2 linked regions of the Coturnix japonica genome follow. The protein of the gene in region 1 purifies or fractionates together with the protein of each later gene. This does not show direct contact. Links are inferred from orthologs where the notes say so. Each region holds a gene or a part of one and is shown in the gene's direction. Other genes may lie near its edges.

Region 1 (3,805 bases):
GGACCATCTCCACCCCCAGCAATCTGTGTCTCCTCAGCAACCAGGGGGTCCTGGCACTTGGTCCCCTTATAGTACTGCACTGCTGTGTGCTGCATAGCCCTAGTGCTTATTGCCCATCAGCGTGTTTTAGGGATGGTGTGTTGAGTTCCACTGGGAGCCCTTTGGTGTTGTGCCGTGGGTTGGTGAGCAGCGCTGGGTGCCATCGCCGTGCCCCATCCCAGTGGGTCGGCGGCTGCCCTGGGGCTGTGCTTTTGCCCCACTCCTTGATCCCCACGGCCCCAACCCGGCTGTCTGGCTCCTCCGGGCCGTCCCCAGCGCCGCGGCGGCTCCAGCTTGGCCACACCGGCGCTGCCAGACAGCTCCCACCTGCCAGAGCCGCCGGGCCGGTTCCCCGTGCCCAGGGCAGCGTGCGGGGCACGGGGAGGTGTGCGGAAACCACGCTGCAGGGATGCCTCCATCCAGCCCCGCATGTAACTCTGAGGTGTGAGGCAGTGCCCGGGGTTGGGGCCATGGAGGCAGCTGGCTGGGAGGGCTGTGGGGTCGTTGAGCTGGGGACTGGGAGGCTCAATGCACTTGGGGTGCTGCGTGATTATGGGTGCAGAGCATCGGTGCCGGTCCTGCCGCGCTTCCTGCTGAGCGGCGTTGCCGATGGAGGAGCCGGGACCAGTTGGGTGAGTGCGGCCGTGCCGGCGCATACCAAACCCCACCCTGCTGAGAAAGAAGGGGGTGGTGGAGGCCAGGATCCGGCCCGGCCCTCGTGTGCCCGCATGGCCACATGCCAACCGCATCCTGACCCATGACGGCGGTCGGAAGCGTTGGGCCTGCGGTGCCGGCGCGGTGAAGCACTCGGTGCTGTGGTTGTGCCGCACCGGTGTTGGCTGCATAGTGCCTGCTGAGCTGGGGGGGCCCATGGGAAAGCTGAGGGCCCCAGGAGCTCCCAGCACTGCGGACATTGTCCGTGCCCAAGCGAGCGTGGCTAATTGGGGCCATCCCTGCGGGTGGGCTCCTGGCCGCTACATGAGTGCAATGGGGCGGCCAAACGGGACCGGGAATGTCGGATCCATCCCACTCTCTGGGCTGGGGGTAGCTCAGGGTGCGTCTCACCCCAGAACCGAGCGCTGGGGCCTCCAGCTCAGCACCATCCAACCTCATTTCCTCGGCCCCAGCTGCAGACCCTGCAGCTCGCTGCTGTGCGGGGCCGCTCGGGGCCCTGTGTGCGGGGCTGGGTGGGCTGGGGGCAGGAAGCGGGTGGGGGGAGCAGCGGGATGAGCACAGCGGCTGGCGGCAGAGCGGGTTGCTCCCAGCAACACGAGCTGAAGGGCCGTTGCTTGGTGACCCTCGGCCAGGGATTGGGGGATTTGTGTGGGGCGTCAGGGACGTGGGGTGGGAGCGGGAGGGGGTTTGGCTGCAATGGGGGTTAACCTGGGCTCAGTGCAGGGTGCTGGTTGAGTGGCTGCCAAGCGGAGCTCGGGGGGCTGTGTTGGTTTTTGTTGGGGGTGTTTTTTGTTTCTTTTCCTTAACACCCCCCCCAGGTATGGCGCGCCTGGCGTGGAGCTGACGGGTTTGCACAAGGAGACGGCCACTGTCACCCAGCTGCACTTCTTGGCCGGGCAGGGCTGGCTGCTGTCCCTGCTGGATGACAACTCGCTGCACCTCTGGGAGATCTACCAGAAGGAGGGCTGCTCCCACCTGGAGGAGACACGCAGCTTCAGCCAGGGCGTGCAGGCAGCCCGAAGCTGCGTGTCTCCTCCAGGTGGGAGCAGCCCTCCTTCTGGTAGATCTCCCAGAGGGGTGCAGCGAGTTGTCATCCAGCAGGGGACAGCAGCCAGCCCTGCTGCCCGGCCAAGAAGAGTGCATGCTGGTGACAGTGGCCGTCTCCTTGTGCAAACCCGTCAGCTCCACACCAGGCGCGCCGTACAGCTTAAACAGCTCCTGCCTTGGTGCCGATGGCCATCACACACAGCCAGGGGTCGTAGGCCAGGGCGCTGGGCTGGCTGGGGAAGCCGTGCTCCACTGTCTTGCTGAAGGCGAACAGGTCGTGGCTGATCCGCTCTCGGTTCGGCTCTGCGCCCTTGCGCGGAACGGAACTCTTCATCATGTGGGGCCGGCGGGGCTGCGGCTCGTACCAGAGCGGCGGGCGGGGCTGGGGTTGATCCGGGGCAAGACGCTCCCCGCTGCCGGCGTGGCCGCTCCCGGGTTGGTTCCGTTCCGCTTGGCCGGTCTTCCCTGGTCGCTGCCGCCCCCCCTCTGCGGCCGCGCGCGCACCGAGCCTCGGGCGGCAGTGAAGTCCACAATGCCCCTTTGTGACATCATAACACCCTTTGTGACATCATAATGCACCTTTCTGATGTCATAATGCCCCTTTTTGACGTCATAATGCCCCTTTGTGATGTCATAATGCTTCTTTGTGATGTCATAATGCTTCTTTGTGATGTCATAATGCCCTTTGTGACGTCATAATGCCCTTTGAGACGTCATAAGGCTCCTTTGTGATGTCATAATGCTCCTTTGTGATTCATAATGCCCTTTGTGATGTCATAATGCCCCTTTGTGACGTCATAATGCTTCTTTGTGAGGTATCTGTGGTGCCATTGATAATGAAGTGTGATGAACTGGAAGGCTTTCAGTAGAATTGCAGCCCTAACATAAACAATGACTTGAACTCTGGAATTCTGTGTAAAATCATTAGCTAGCTTGTGGTCCGGGTCTTCAAACCAAAGGCTGTGAGGTGCTGCTCTTGTTGACGCAGGCTGTGAAAGATGACTTGAGCTCTAAGAGTAATTTCCCTTCTGCTCTTTATATGAACGTCAAATCCACAATTAGAATATTAAGAAGATAATATAAAATTTTGTGCTGCTGGACTGAGGACTTCCATTAGCTGTTAGCCATAGTTTGGAACTTGCAAAGCAATCATATTGGAGCCTTGCTGGGCAACCTGCTCCAGTGTCTCACCACACCCACAGTAAAGCATTTCTTCCTAATATCCAATCCTAATCTACCTTCTTCCCATGTAAAGCCATTTCCCCTCATTCTGTTGCTACCTGCCCTTATGAAAAGTCCCTCCCCAGCCTTCCCTGTAGGCCCTCTTCAGATACTGGAAGGCCACTCTAAGGTCTCCTTGGAGTCTTCTCCAGGCTGAAGAGCCCCATCTCTCTCAGCCTGTGCACATAGTAGAGGTGCTTTCAGCCCTCTCTGATCACCTTCATGGCCCTCCTCTGGACCTGCCTGAACATCTCCAAGTCCTTCTTGTGTTGAGGGCTCCAGAACTGCGTGCAGTGCTCCAGATGGGGTTTCAATGAGAGGAGTGTGGAGGGGCAGCACCACCTCCCTCGACCTGCTGGTCATGCTTCTGTGCTTTAAGCTTATGCTTTAAGGTCCTATATGCTTTAAGGTTTAGATAGTGCAGTCGCCTCACCTCTTCAGGTTTATCTGTGAAGGTCCCTTCCAAGTGAACCGTGCTGATCCAGACAGTTCGGATTGCTCATTAAAGTGTTTTAGTAAGTTGGGCTGGTCCTACGAAGCAGTATGACTGCAGTAAGCAGTGTACATGGTGCGCTGTGAGTACTGCACACATTCCTCTTGGCAGCTTGTGGAACAGAAACTGTGCATTGTTTGGATTGTGTAAGTATTCCTGTTGGTCTCTTGTGATGCTTACCTTCTTAGAGCACCTTTCCTCGTTTGGCTCTACATATTTTGGTACCTTACTTGTTCTGTTTGGCTTAGCAGGGAAGGTCTTCTTCTGAAGCATCCTCAGTCTTGGTCTGGGCAGCATACTTAGAAATGACATGGACGTTACATGAGTGGG
Region 2 (4,478 bases), on another chromosome or scaffold:
ATGGCTTCAAGAGTCCTCTGCAACTCAGATGGTAACACAGTTCTATGGACCTGAAAGAGCATCCGGGACAGCAGTAGCCAGGGACTTCTCTGCAGTGAAACAGAATGTCCCCCTGATCCAGGGATTACAAAACCCAACCTGTCTTTCAACTTCACAGAAGCTGAAACTGGTTGTGCCATGAATAGTCATGATCAAGTCACAGGTTTGTAGACTCTGTGACTAAAATAGCTCTTCAAACTTGTGCTGCTCCCGGCCTCTCACTGTATCTTGATCTGAAATCAAGCTGTTTATTGCATTCCTTCCTCATACGTCAGCTCCCAGTGATGAGAGCATGCCAGTGATTAATACTCTTTATTAGGTCAGTTCCAGAGACTTGAAATGAATTTGCCCTGAGTCCTGAAGCACGTTACCACACCCACAGTGTGGAACTCCAGCCATCCTAGGAATGCAAGATAGAAAAAAATCCTTATCTGAGGTGAGACTCCAGAAATGTTCCACAGTAAAATCGGCTGCAGGCACAGATCAGCTCCAGGAAGTTCTTCCAAGGAAAACGGCAACTGACTGCTTTAAAAACCTGGCAGAGGTTTGCAAGGGGCTCTTGACTTCAATAAGCCGACTCACACGCTTTCTTCCTCCCTCTACATACTAAACTCTGTAAATGAAAAATCCTTTTTCTTCAGATTTTAGGCATGACACGGTCCCCATGTTAAGGTCTGCCGGTACCTCCCCAAGGTCACTATGTGGACGGTTACACAATAATGGTTGTTCTATCGCAGTGTAACACACACAAACGACGTCACAGAAAACCCTTCAGGCGTGTCACCAGGTTACGGACGGGGCTTAAAACAGAAAAGTCCAACAACTGCACGGCCAGGACAGGCCTAAAGAGCATGAGAGGGACAGGGAGGGAGCACGGCCTGGGCTGGGGCAGTCACACCCAGCAGGATGCAGTCAGTCATGTTTCAATGTCTCACACACATCCCGCTCCGTACAGTCTCACACATTCGGATCCAGTCATGTTTCTCTCACACCCCGCACACTCGCGGCCTTTCCTTCCCTTCCCTTTCCCGGCGCTGTCCCACTCCTCCCTCACAGATCAGCGCATCGTGCTGCCGGGCCGCGTTCCCTCGCACAGCCCCATGTTTGCACACCAGACCCGCCCGCTGCCGAGCAAAGGTCCCGCGGCTCGTCCCACCCCCGCCCCTACACAGAATCACTCCGTACTTCCTCATCTCCGTGCGGTTCCTCCCCCTCCATCTTGTAGCTCCGCCTCAACCCGGCAGGTGCTCGGTGCCGCCGTCCCGCGCTCAGCGCGCACGGCTCAGTGCGCATGCTCGCGAGCGGCAGGTGCGCGGCCCCGCCCGTGTGCGCATGCGCGGTGCGGCGCTGCCCCGTCCCGCGGTGTGAGGGCGGCAGGTGCCAGGAGCCGCCGGCCCCGCCCGGTGCCGCTGTGTCAGGGCGGCGCCGCGGTGCCAGGAGCGGCTGGAGGCGTGAGGGGCGGGGGGATCCGGGGGGATCCGGGCCGTGAGCGTCCCGCTCTGCCACCCGTGGGCGCCCGGGGCCGAGAGAAAAGAGCAGACGCCGAGCAGCCGGCGGAATGAGTCGGCCTCACCGCGGGCCTGCGGGCAGCCGGGGCCTCGGCACCATGGAGGTGAAGAGCAAGGTAAGCGAGCGGGGAGCGGGCGGCCCGGCCGGAACCGCGGGGAGCCCGGCGGGTCGGGGCTGAATCACGGACTCACTGAGTCACTGAGTCACTCACCTGCGGCAGCGCGGCCTGGGGCGGGAACCGCGCGGCGGGACTGAGCGAGCGACGGGACGGAGGAACCGGGCCCGGTGTGCGCAGCGAGCGGCGGGACGGAGCGGGGCGGGGGTGGGAGCTCGGGGGGGATCGAGGCTAAAGGCGTTCCAGGGTCGGGTCGGGGGTTGTGACGGACGCCGGGCCGTGATCGCTGCCCATCACACCGGGCTGCTCTGCGGGCAGAGTCTGCATGAGAACTTAGTGCCGGCCGAGCTCTCACGAGGCTGTATGTGTATGTGTGTATGTATGTGTATGTATGTACACGCTGTGGCTCCTCCAGCAGCCCTGCTGTCAGATCTCCGCAGGCTCCATGTGTCTATTGGCATTTCTGCATCATTTCTGCATCCATTGCCGTTGGTTTTTTCTCCTGGTTCCCGTAGTTTTGCTGGCAGATGTTCAGTGTTCTGAAACAGATCTTGGGGTTTTTTTTGGCTTACCGTGATCATATTTTGGTACTTTGTCCTTTTGCAGTTAATTACATTTACAACTGTAAATCTTAATATGCGTTAGATGTGAAATCTTAACTGGTGTGAAGCTGCTAAAGAAATGCGTTGTTGTGAAATCCTTTCCATCATCACACCAAACTACACGGCCCTGTGGGGATGTTTTCTTTCATTGGTTTAAAAGAAAAAAAGTCCTTTTGTGCCTCTTTATTTCTAAGCCGCTCGGGTCTGTTTGCTGTTCGTACTCTGCTCCTTCCTGCAATCCAAGCATCCCTTTGCAGTGTAGGAGAGGCAGCCGGGAGCTGGGGATCTTTTTCTTGTCTGTTTTTTAAACACTAGTGTGACAAGTGCTTGTACATGAAAAGCAGTGCTGCGCTTTTGGGACTAGCATGGATGATAATTACTGCTCGTTTTTAACTTAACTGTGATATGGGTGAAGTCACAATGCCAAGGAATACTTGGCTGCCATGATCCCAAATGCTGGTTAAGCACAGCTGTGACTGTGTCAGTGGAGCGTGTTGTTTGTTGTTTTAATCTATGTGCTTGTAGGATTGAAAGCAATCAGAATAACGTGTTTATAAGCAATACTTCTTGCCACAGCTCAAGCCTCCCCTGTAGTGTGCATTGCCTGATTACAAGTATGTCTAGGGATCAGCTGCGTGGTGCCTCCTTTGGCATTCTGCAGAGCAGGTCTAATGAGTTGGGGCTGTCTCTTAGTGTACTATGAAGAATGTATCGAGGCGTTCTCTGAACTACTTGTTGCTAATACATTACTTTCAAGTATCTAGATTTAATGTATCAGAGGAGTCATCTTCCTTCCGTGAAGAAGCTCCAAAAAAGAAAGAAAAGCTGTGTGGGAGGTGGAGGGGAGCATTCCTGTGCAGTGCTGTAAGATTTGAAGGCTTGCCATCAGTGTCCAACGCTGTGTTCAGGTAGTCCAACTCAGTAATCATGCACCGACTGACAAACCCATGCCTGCAAAGCCCATTGTGAGTGGGAATAGTGTTTTCCGATTCTTTGTTTTGTATGGAATGAAATCTAATATACCGATAAGCTCCAGCAAATGTATCTGTCTTATGTTCTGTTATTATTGCTTAAGACTGGTAGTGTAGCAGCGGCATGCAGCATTAGACAGGACATAAAGATGCTTCTCATAAGCGAGTCTTACTCACGTGGGTATCTCAGGTGAATTCCTGGTACATTGCCATAGCTTGTGCTGTGTTTTTCCAGCTGATTCTTCTGATTTTACGTTTCTGTGCTTCATTAAAGTTGCAAATTTTTGTTAGTGCAGAGTGGAATGTGGTGCAACGTTTGATATCAAATGGAAACATTGCATGAGATTAATATAGACAATTATTACATGAGATTAATATGGACAGGGAATTAGTTTAGCTTTTCTACTTTATCAGCTTCGTAGTACTGAGCATGTGGCAAGTTTTGTTAGAGCATAACGTCTGTGGAAATGGTGGGGGGAAAAATTAACTTCACATGCTTGGAAATGTGACCGTTCATATCCTTGCTGCAATCACACCATGTTTGCTTCAAGTTGAGAGTAAGATTGTTGGTGGCGTTCTTTTAAATTCCAGTGTTACTTAACCGTTCAAACTATGTTGTCTTTCAAAACCAAACAACTGCAGATTGATACAATGCTTGGAGAGTTTCCATAGCGCTCATACTTGAAATAGCTGCAGCAGGGTTCAGCAGGAACTCGGTCACGTTCCATCACTGACATCACACTTCAGCTGCCTCTGACGTGGAGGAAGCTCCTCCTGCAGGCTGTTGTTTGCTTTGTGTGAGTCATCTCTTCTGACTTAAAGTGACTGAAATAGGAATATTTCTAGAGTGCCCCCAGAGAATTCCATTATTTGAGAACTTTGAAGATGAGGTGTTAATAGTGTGTAGGCTGTTCTGCTGTGCCTGTTTGAGTCTGGGCGGTGTTAATGTGCTAACAATAGGGTCCTTGTCTCCTTATTTTCGTGCCTTGGTATGTGAGAATTCTAAGGCCTCTATTCTCTAGAGCTGTTTTAATCAGTGGTGAGGTAAGGGTTGCTCTGAGGCCTGGTAATTTACACCTCCCCACCTGCTGTGTGTAACACCTACCCCACCATGTGATACTGAGACTGGAACTCCTGGCAGCGTTTCATTCAGTGTGCCCTCGCCTTCTTAAAATTGAGCCAGGTAAAGGAATAGTTTGAAGTGATGTTCATTGTCCATCAGTGACAGGATTGACAAAAATG

What was found.
Region 2: the proteins of LLGL1 (region 1) and PARD6B purify together in Homo sapiens (affinity purification with mass spectrometry; 5 studies listed by BioGRID and IntAct, counting the BioPlex papers as one, with this or other methods). This does not show direct contact. The link is inferred for Coturnix japonica from reciprocal best matches to the Homo sapiens genes LLGL1 and PARD6B.

The regions. Positions count from the first base shown.
Region 1 is NC_029529.1:5,078,434-5,082,238, forward strand, and holds part of LLGL1 (lethal(2) giant larvae protein homolog 1), read left to right. Parts: intron 1-1,532; coding exon 1,533-1,753; intron 1,754-3,805. UniProt on the Homo sapiens protein: Cortical cytoskeleton protein found in a complex involved in maintaining cell polarity and epithelial integrity. Involved in the regulation of mitotic spindle orientation, proliferation, differentiation and tissue organization of neuroepithelial cells.
Region 2 is NC_029535.1:12,092,027-12,096,504, reverse strand, and holds the start of PARD6B (partitioning defective 6 homolog beta), read left to right. Parts: upstream 1-1,443; 5' UTR 1,444-1,597; coding exon 1,598-1,663; intron 1,664-1,759; exon of another isoform or gene 1,760-1,820; intron 1,821-4,478. UniProt on the Homo sapiens protein: Adapter protein involved in asymmetrical cell division and cell polarization processes. Probably involved in formation of epithelial tight junctions.